Linked DNA regions of Callithrix jacchus. The protein of the gene in region 1 purifies or fractionates together with the protein of each later gene. This does not show direct contact. Links are inferred from orthologs where the notes say so. Each region holds a gene or a part of one and is shown in the gene's direction. Other genes may lie near its edges.

The links.
Region 2: the proteins of COX6B1 (region 1) and CHCHD4 purify together in Homo sapiens (co-immunoprecipitation; 3 studies listed by BioGRID and IntAct, with this or other methods). This does not show direct contact. The link is inferred for Callithrix jacchus from reciprocal best matches to the Homo sapiens genes COX6B1 and CHCHD4.

Annotation. Positions count from the first base shown.
Region 1 is NC_133523.1:31,848,890-31,853,428, forward strand, and holds the start of COX6B1 (cytochrome c oxidase subunit 6B1), read left to right. Parts: upstream 1-1,558; 5' UTR 1,559-1,636; intron 1,637-4,166; 5' UTR 4,167-4,177; coding exon 4,178-4,283; intron 4,284-4,539. UniProt on the Homo sapiens protein: Component of the cytochrome c oxidase, the last enzyme in the mitochondrial electron transport chain which drives oxidative phosphorylation.
Region 2 is NC_133516.1:71,077,713-71,080,673, reverse strand, and holds part of CHCHD4 (mitochondrial intermembrane space import and assembly protein 40), read left to right. Parts: intron 1-2,325; coding exon 2,326-2,633; 3' UTR 2,634-2,961.

The DNA of each region.
Region 1 (4,539 bases):
GGACGATCTCACACCACTGCTAAAAACTATCAATGTGGGCCAGGCATAGTGGCTCACACCTGTAATCACAGCATTTTGGGAGGTTGAAGCAGCACAATGGCTTGAGGCCAGGAGTTGTAGACAAGCCTGAGCAACATGGAAAAACCCTGTCTCTACTAAAAATACAAAACTTAGCTGGGTGTGGTGGCGCATGACTATAATCCCAGTTACTGGGGAGACCAAAGCAGGAGAATCGCTTGAACCTAGAAGGTGGAGGTTGTAGTGAGCCGAGATTGTGCCACTGCACTCCAGCCTGGGCAACAGAGCGAGATTCAGTCCAAAAAGAAAGAAAGAAAATAAAGGAAAGAAGAGAAAGAAGAAAAAAGGAAGAAAGGGAGGAAGAAAAGAAAGAAAGAAAAAATTATGTAGATCATTTATTAGGACATTGGCTTTAGACTAAGAGTCAGACCAGTATTCCTCTGGCGGGGTGGGCATATTGCAGAAGGCAGCTGGAAGCCAGGAGGCCAGGGAGTGTGCTACTGCAACAGTCCAGTCTGAAGGTGATGGTGGCTTGAACCAAATGGGCTAGAGGAAGATATGGATATACTTGCAGGAAAAACCAACAGGATTTCTAGGTCAGCTATCCGGTATGAGAAGGATCAGAGAGTCAAGGACTATTCTGTGGCCAGAAGCACAGAGTTAGTCATTTTCCCAAAGGGAACCATTTCTGCCAGACCCTTCGTAGATCCAAGCTTTTTTTTTGGGGGGGGGGAGACAGGCTGGGGATTTCCAGCTGTCTGGAATCCCCTCCCACATAGTAGGAGCTCTCTTTCCCCCTCCTGGATTTCCCTTCCACACTCTTCGTGGAAGTTTTCTCTCTTCTTTTTTCTCTTTTCTCTCCTTGAATAAAATCACCTTTCTGCAACAACAACAAAAGAGACAGGCTGGTCAGGAGTTCGAGACCAGCTGGACCCACGTGGTGAAACCCCGTCTCTACTAAAAAATACAAAAATTAGCCGAGCGTGGTGGTGGGCACCTGTAGTCCCAGCTATTCGGGAGGCTGAGGTGGAGAATCGCTTGAAGCCGGGAGGCGGAGGTTGCAGTGAGCCGAGTTCGCACCACTGCCCTCCAGCCTGGGCCACAGACTAAGACCCTGTCATAAAATTAAAAAAAAAAAAAAAAAGAATTCCGAGTCACGGCACCAAAAAAAAAGAAATTTTTTAAAAAGAAAAGAAGTACCTGACGCAGAAAAGCGTTCAATAAATAATTATTGCATGAATTAAAGTACTTTTGCTGAGACATTTTTCCCCACACCGACCCTCCAGCGCATCCCGGGATCTGCAACGCATTCTCCGAGTGAAGACCCGGAGGTGATAAACACCTGGGCGTCCGAGCCCCAGCCGCGCAAGCTCACGACTGGGCCAGGAGTGATAATAAACAAGCATTCAGCCCAATAGAAAGTCGTAGTTCTCTTGCTGGGCGTGACCTGAATGGCGTCGTTGGCCACCTCCTGGGCGGGAGCTCTAGCCGTCCGGAAGACTCCCCTATACCCCATCTCGCTCAGCTTCCGGCTGGCCTTAGTTCCGGTTCCTGTCCGACTCTGGAGTCTTTGCAGAGGGTCACATTGAGCTGCAAGGTGCATCGGGGGTGCTTTTAGGTGAGTGTGAAGGGTTCTGGAACCTGGAACCCCAGCCTAACGGGCTGAGGATCTGAACCCTAGCTTCCCCGAGAACGGGTTGAGGCTTCTGGCTGGCGGCGTCCAGCCTCCCTGGGCCCCGGGACCCTGTTGTTCTGTTCTTCGTAAGAACTAACAGTGATATAACAGGAGTTCTTCCTTGATGCAAGGCAACATCCCAAACAACTTAAATTATTCATTTAACTCTCCCACCAGAGAGTTCTAAGACAGGCCTGGGATCATCCCCTTTTGACAGTAAACAGGTTTGGAGATACCAAGGGACCTAGCCGAGCCTACACGCGACCAGGATTTGGCCCAGGAGTTTGTCCTCCAGGGTTCATCGCAAATTCAGGGGCGTGGCCTCCCGCGGCTTACCTGGGCTGCAGCCTGACTCCCTGGTGTTCTGTCAATCCTCCCTTTTGGACGTGGGAGGGGCCGCAGCGTCACCTCCGAAGCACCCTCATCCTCAGATACCGGCTCGAGATATCGCCGGTAACCATCCTTCTGATTGCATCTGTGCCCCAGCGGTGGTGTTTTACATACACCCCACCTCCCCATCGAAAGACCGTTTTAGTGCTCCAGACCCCCACCACCACTTTGCATCGCTTGAATTTGACGCTGCTCTGCAGGTTTCTGTATAGCCCCACGACTCCTGGGATTCCCTCGAATATAGACACTTTCAGGTTCCCGACGAACATTATGTGTCACTTCTTCAGAGACATTATATTAAAGATTTTTAACCCTCGGTCTGCAGAGTTGGAAGAATTCCAGGAATGTATTTGAATTGGGGTGACTGTGTGGAATTACCCCAGTATTTGAATTGGGGTGAGGGGGTGGAATTCTATCTGTGTATTAACCTTTTGAGGCAACAACCTCGTTAGTACTAGCAGCAGCTGTGATTTTGTTAGCAATCAAAACCATAGATATTTTTTTCTCCTTTTTTGAGAAGGTCTCTGTGTACCCAGGCTGGCATGCAGTGGAGAAATCTTGGCTCACCGTAACCTCTGCATCCCCGTGCAAACGATCCTACCTCAGTAGCTGGGACCACAGGCATGCGCCACCACACCTGGCTAATTTTACTATTTTTTTGTAGAGATGGGGTTTCACAAGCTGGTCTTGAACTCCTGCGCTCAAGTGATACTCCTACCTCAGCGTCCCAAAGTGTTGGGATTGTAGGTGTGAGCCACAGTGCCCCACCTAAAATCACAGATATTCTTATATCACATTATAAATGCAGATGTCACAAAATACTATATCCACTCATGGTTACTTGAGTGAGGTTGCAGGGGGTCTTGCTCTGTCACCCAGACTGGAGTGCAATGGTGTAATCTCAGCTCACTGCAACCTCCACCTCCTAGGTTCAAGCGATTTTCCTGCCTCAGCCTCCCAAATAGCTGGGATTACAGGCACCCACCACCACACCTGGCTAATTTTTGTATTTTTAGTAGAGACAGGATTTCACCATGTTGGCCGGTCTGGTCTTGAACTCTTGATCTTAGGTGATCCACCTGGTTTGGCCTCCCAAAGTGTTACGATTATAGGCATGAGCCACCGCACCTGGCCAGAATTGTATTTCTTAATGAATCCTCAGCTGGATATAACTGGTTTTCTTTGTGATACTATTCCAGTTTTTTGTTTTTTTTTTTTAACTTCTTCATGTACTCATGGAACCTATGCAATGTTGTAATACATTTAAACATATTCAGGCCAGGTTTGGTGGCTCGCGCCTGTAATCCCAGCACTTTGGGAGGCCAAGGTGGGTGGATCATCTCAGGTCAGAAGTTCGAGACCAGTCTGACCAACATGGTGAAACCTCGTCTCTACTCAAATGCAAAAAAAGTAGCTGGGTGTGGTGGTGGGCACCTGTAATCTCAGCTATTCAGGAGGCTGCGGCAACAGAATTGCTTGAACCTGGGAGGCAAAGGTTGCAGTGAGCCTAGATCGCATCACTGCACTCCAGCCTGGGCAACAGAACAAGGGTCTGTCTCAAAAAAAAAAAAAAACATATTCAGTGAGAGGTTTATGGGATTCGTGAGACCACTGAGGAGTCTGTGGCACCAAAAAGATTAAGAACCTTTGCAGTGTAGATTATGCCAAAAATGGAGGTAGCCCACCATTTATTTTTATGCCAGATAACCTTAGGAAGTCACTTAGACACCCTGTTCCTTCCTCGTCTGGGCAGTGGTGATAGTAATAGTTCCTACGTTCCTACTTTTAGAGCAGCCGTAGGAGTCAGGTGTGTAGAACAGCACCTGGCATGTAGTAAGCATTCAGTGTTAGCTCATGTTATTTGGGAACCAGGCTTGATTTTGCTGAGGAGTCGCACCCTAATGCTGCCACAACTTCCACGCACAGATGTGTGGAGCGCCCTGCCCCTCATCTCTGCATATATGTTGAGAGGCAGGAACTTGTTCACACCCCCACCATTCTTCAGTGCCTCCTCTCTTCCATTGATCCTGGGTAGTCTGACTTGCTCGGGGCCCCTGCCAACACCCACTCCTTTCATCTCCAGGATTCAGCACCATGGCAGAAGAGATGAAGGCCAAACTTAAGAACTACAAGACTGCCCCTTTTGACAGCCGCTTTCCCAACCAGAACCAGACCAGGAACTGCTGGCAGAACTACCTGGGTAAGCAGGACCTTTCCCTGGCCCCACACCTCTAGTCACTCACCTCTTGCCTCTTCCTAGGGGACCCATCCATCCCAGCATCCTCCCTTTTCTTCTGGACATCCTTCCTCTAGGGGACCCATGCTTCTTATCACTTGCTCTTCAGGTCCAGGCTTGGGTTACAAACTTTGGTTCCTGCAATGACTTTTTTTAATTTTAATTTGTTTATTATTATTATGGTTTTATTTTTGTGGTGTATTTTTTTTTTCCCCCAGAG
Region 2 (2,961 bases), on another chromosome or scaffold:
GAGGATGTCCCGCCCTAGTAGGGGAACTGGGCATGAAGGCATGATCAGGAAGGAGTGAGAGATTGGGTGCCCCTCAAGGTTACAGGCTAAGGGAGGAGTCTGGTTGGGGCAGGAGGGCTTTCTATCAATTCACATATCTGACACTTGGGAAGGTGTGTTAGGTCTTGAGTAAGAAGGCAACACAGAATAGGTAGCCCCCGTGTCCACCAAGAAGGAAATGGACTTACCTGCTACCTATAGCATTACTTTGAGCTCAGAAGGGCGATAGGGGTCTCCAAGTCTGGGCCACATCAGTCGTCTATGAGGCTGAGGAGTTCAAACGAAGGGACTGCATCTTTTGGACTGGCCTGCCTCTCACATGGAGGTGCAGGGGGTGAGCCTATAGTCTGGGATGGGCAGTCTACTTTCTAGTGTCCAATCCATTTGCAGGTAGGACAGGGTCCCAGGGCCAGTGGCCCTCCTGGCTGCACTTGAAACAGGGCCTGGGTGGGACCTTTGAAGCAGTCTGGGTGGGTCCAGAGAGTCCTGAGGGACCCTTTTGGGGGGCCTTTGACAGGTCCCTTACACCAGATGCTTGGTGAGTTGCCAGCCTCAGAGCCGCTACAAGAGCTTGGGTTTGGAGGCTCACCTGTTGCTGTAGCTGGGCCTGGTGGGTGGCCTCAGCTTTTTCCTCTCCGCCATTAAAAACTTTAAATGCCATGTTTACCAGGTCTCATATGGGAGTTTGGAGGCCCTCCTCTGCCTTCTTTAGTTTTTTTCTAATATCTGGTGCTGACTGGGAAATAAAATGGGCTGCTAGGAGGGTAGCCCCAGCTGAAGAGTCTGGATCTACTCGGGTATGGCCCTTCATACCCGAGTAGATCCAGACTCTGTGTTGTTTTCGCTGGGAACTGCACTCCAGAGCTGTTCCTATTTGGCCGTCTTGGATCCACCTTTTGGGTTACAATTTTTAAATGTCCCTATTCTCTCTTTTGGAAACTGGTTGTGCAGGTTTGTGAGCAGATTTGAACCTCCAGGGGGCAGCATTTACAAATGTTTTTCCACCACTGAGGTCCCTGTCAAGAAGAAGTGGTGAGATGTAGAGGAAGGGATATGGGCTCTGCCGGCCTAGTCTGCAGTCCTAACGTGGACCATGAGCCCCAGAAACTGTGTGTAAACTGGGGTTAGTAGTACACAATGCAGGAGAACTTGATCTGCAACCGCTACTGGTCCTGGGGGTCTGCTGCCTGCTAAGGGGGCAGCACTAGTTGGCATCGCCCTTGCTATCCCCATTTCACAAATAAGGTACAGGAATAGTTACAGCAGGTCCATTGATCAGTGGAGCTTCCCAAGCTGGAATTGAGAGGCAGCTGGGGTTTCACCTAGGACTTTGGACATTAGTGCAGAGTGCCAGGCCTGGGTACTGCCCTGGAGTGAAGAATCATGTGTAATTTACAGGACGTTTTAGAGGCCTCTTAGAAAGTGCTTTCAGGTTCTTGGTAAGACTCATGTAAGAAGCTTCTATATGAATCATATATCTGTGTCTGTCACAAAGCTGAAAATGAAGCCATCATTTTGATAGCATTTTGGAAAACAAAGAAATACTATTTAGATGTGAATAAAGTTCAATGATGAGAAAAGCTATGAAAGTCAAAAGAGGCCTATTAATAGTGAGAATGAAAACTCATCTATAACCTTGCTCCCTTCCCACACACATGTGCAGTTTAACAGTTTGATTTTTTACAATGCACTCGCACTAATCGTATGCCACCAGCTTCTCATTGTGCAGCATGTGTTAGACATCTTTCCTCGTCAGTACATAAGGAGCAACCTCTGCCTTTTCACCAGTCCCCACACTACGCTGAGCTTCTGAGAGCAGCTGCAAGGCAAGAGGGGCTCAAGGGGCAGGGAGCTTGGGGGTAAGGTGGTCCCAATCATCCATATGGGGAGGGGATTAGAAAGAGAAGATTAGTACCTCAGTTCCTTAAAGTGGGCTTTCAAAAAGCTCTTCACTAACCATCCAAGTGATCGTCTCTTTGGGTTAAATGGTTCCCCGTATTTAATTCTTGGAGCACAGCCTCAGAGTACTGGGAGGTGGCTTAGAATAGTTTAGTGTCACACATGGAGAAACATGTCCTTGATGGCTTCTCTCCTAGCTGGGCCAAGGAGTGCTGGATATGTGCTAGGCATTTCAACTGAATCCAGATTGAGGTATGGGTCCATAGGAACGATGGCTCCTGTTGTTCTGCACCAGCTGAGTAGCCTGCGAGGACTGGACCAGTTTTGTATTTTCTGAAACATTACAGAACATCTCTCACATTGTCCTTGCTTATCTTCCTGTTCCAGGATTGATACTGCCAAATGGAAACATTAACTGGAACTGCCCATGCCTTGGGGGAATGGCCAGCGGCCCCTGTGGGGAACAGTTCAAGTCGGCCTTTTCCTGCTTCCACTATAGCAAGGAGGAGATCAAGGGGTCAGACTGTGTAGACCAGTTCCGGGCCATGCAGGAATGCATGCAGAAATACCCAGACCTCTATCCCCAAGAGGATGAGGATGAGGAAGAGGAAGAAAAGAAGAAGCCAGCAGAACAAGTACCAGAAACAGCTCCCTCTGAAGCCACTGCAACCAAAGAGGAAGAGGAGTCAAGTTAATGAAGGCCACAAGGCACTGGGCTCCAGTCCTTCCACTTCAGTGATATGGACCTTTTGCAAGATGCCTTTTAGTCACCTTTCCAGAAAGTGTCTTTCCCTCTGTTGTCCTGTGCACTGTAATATGCAAAATAACTTATTTTGATGATCAGGGGTCTTGGCCTCTTGACATATACACTGAAAAAAATGGGGGTTGTATGTGTGTCCTACCTAAACCTGTAGCCGCCACTTTGATAGAATGCTGAATAAGCTCAGCAAGTAAAAACCATTACCCAGGAACCTTGCTTGTGAGTGAGCTGATACATTCTGATTCATTATATTCCTCTTACTA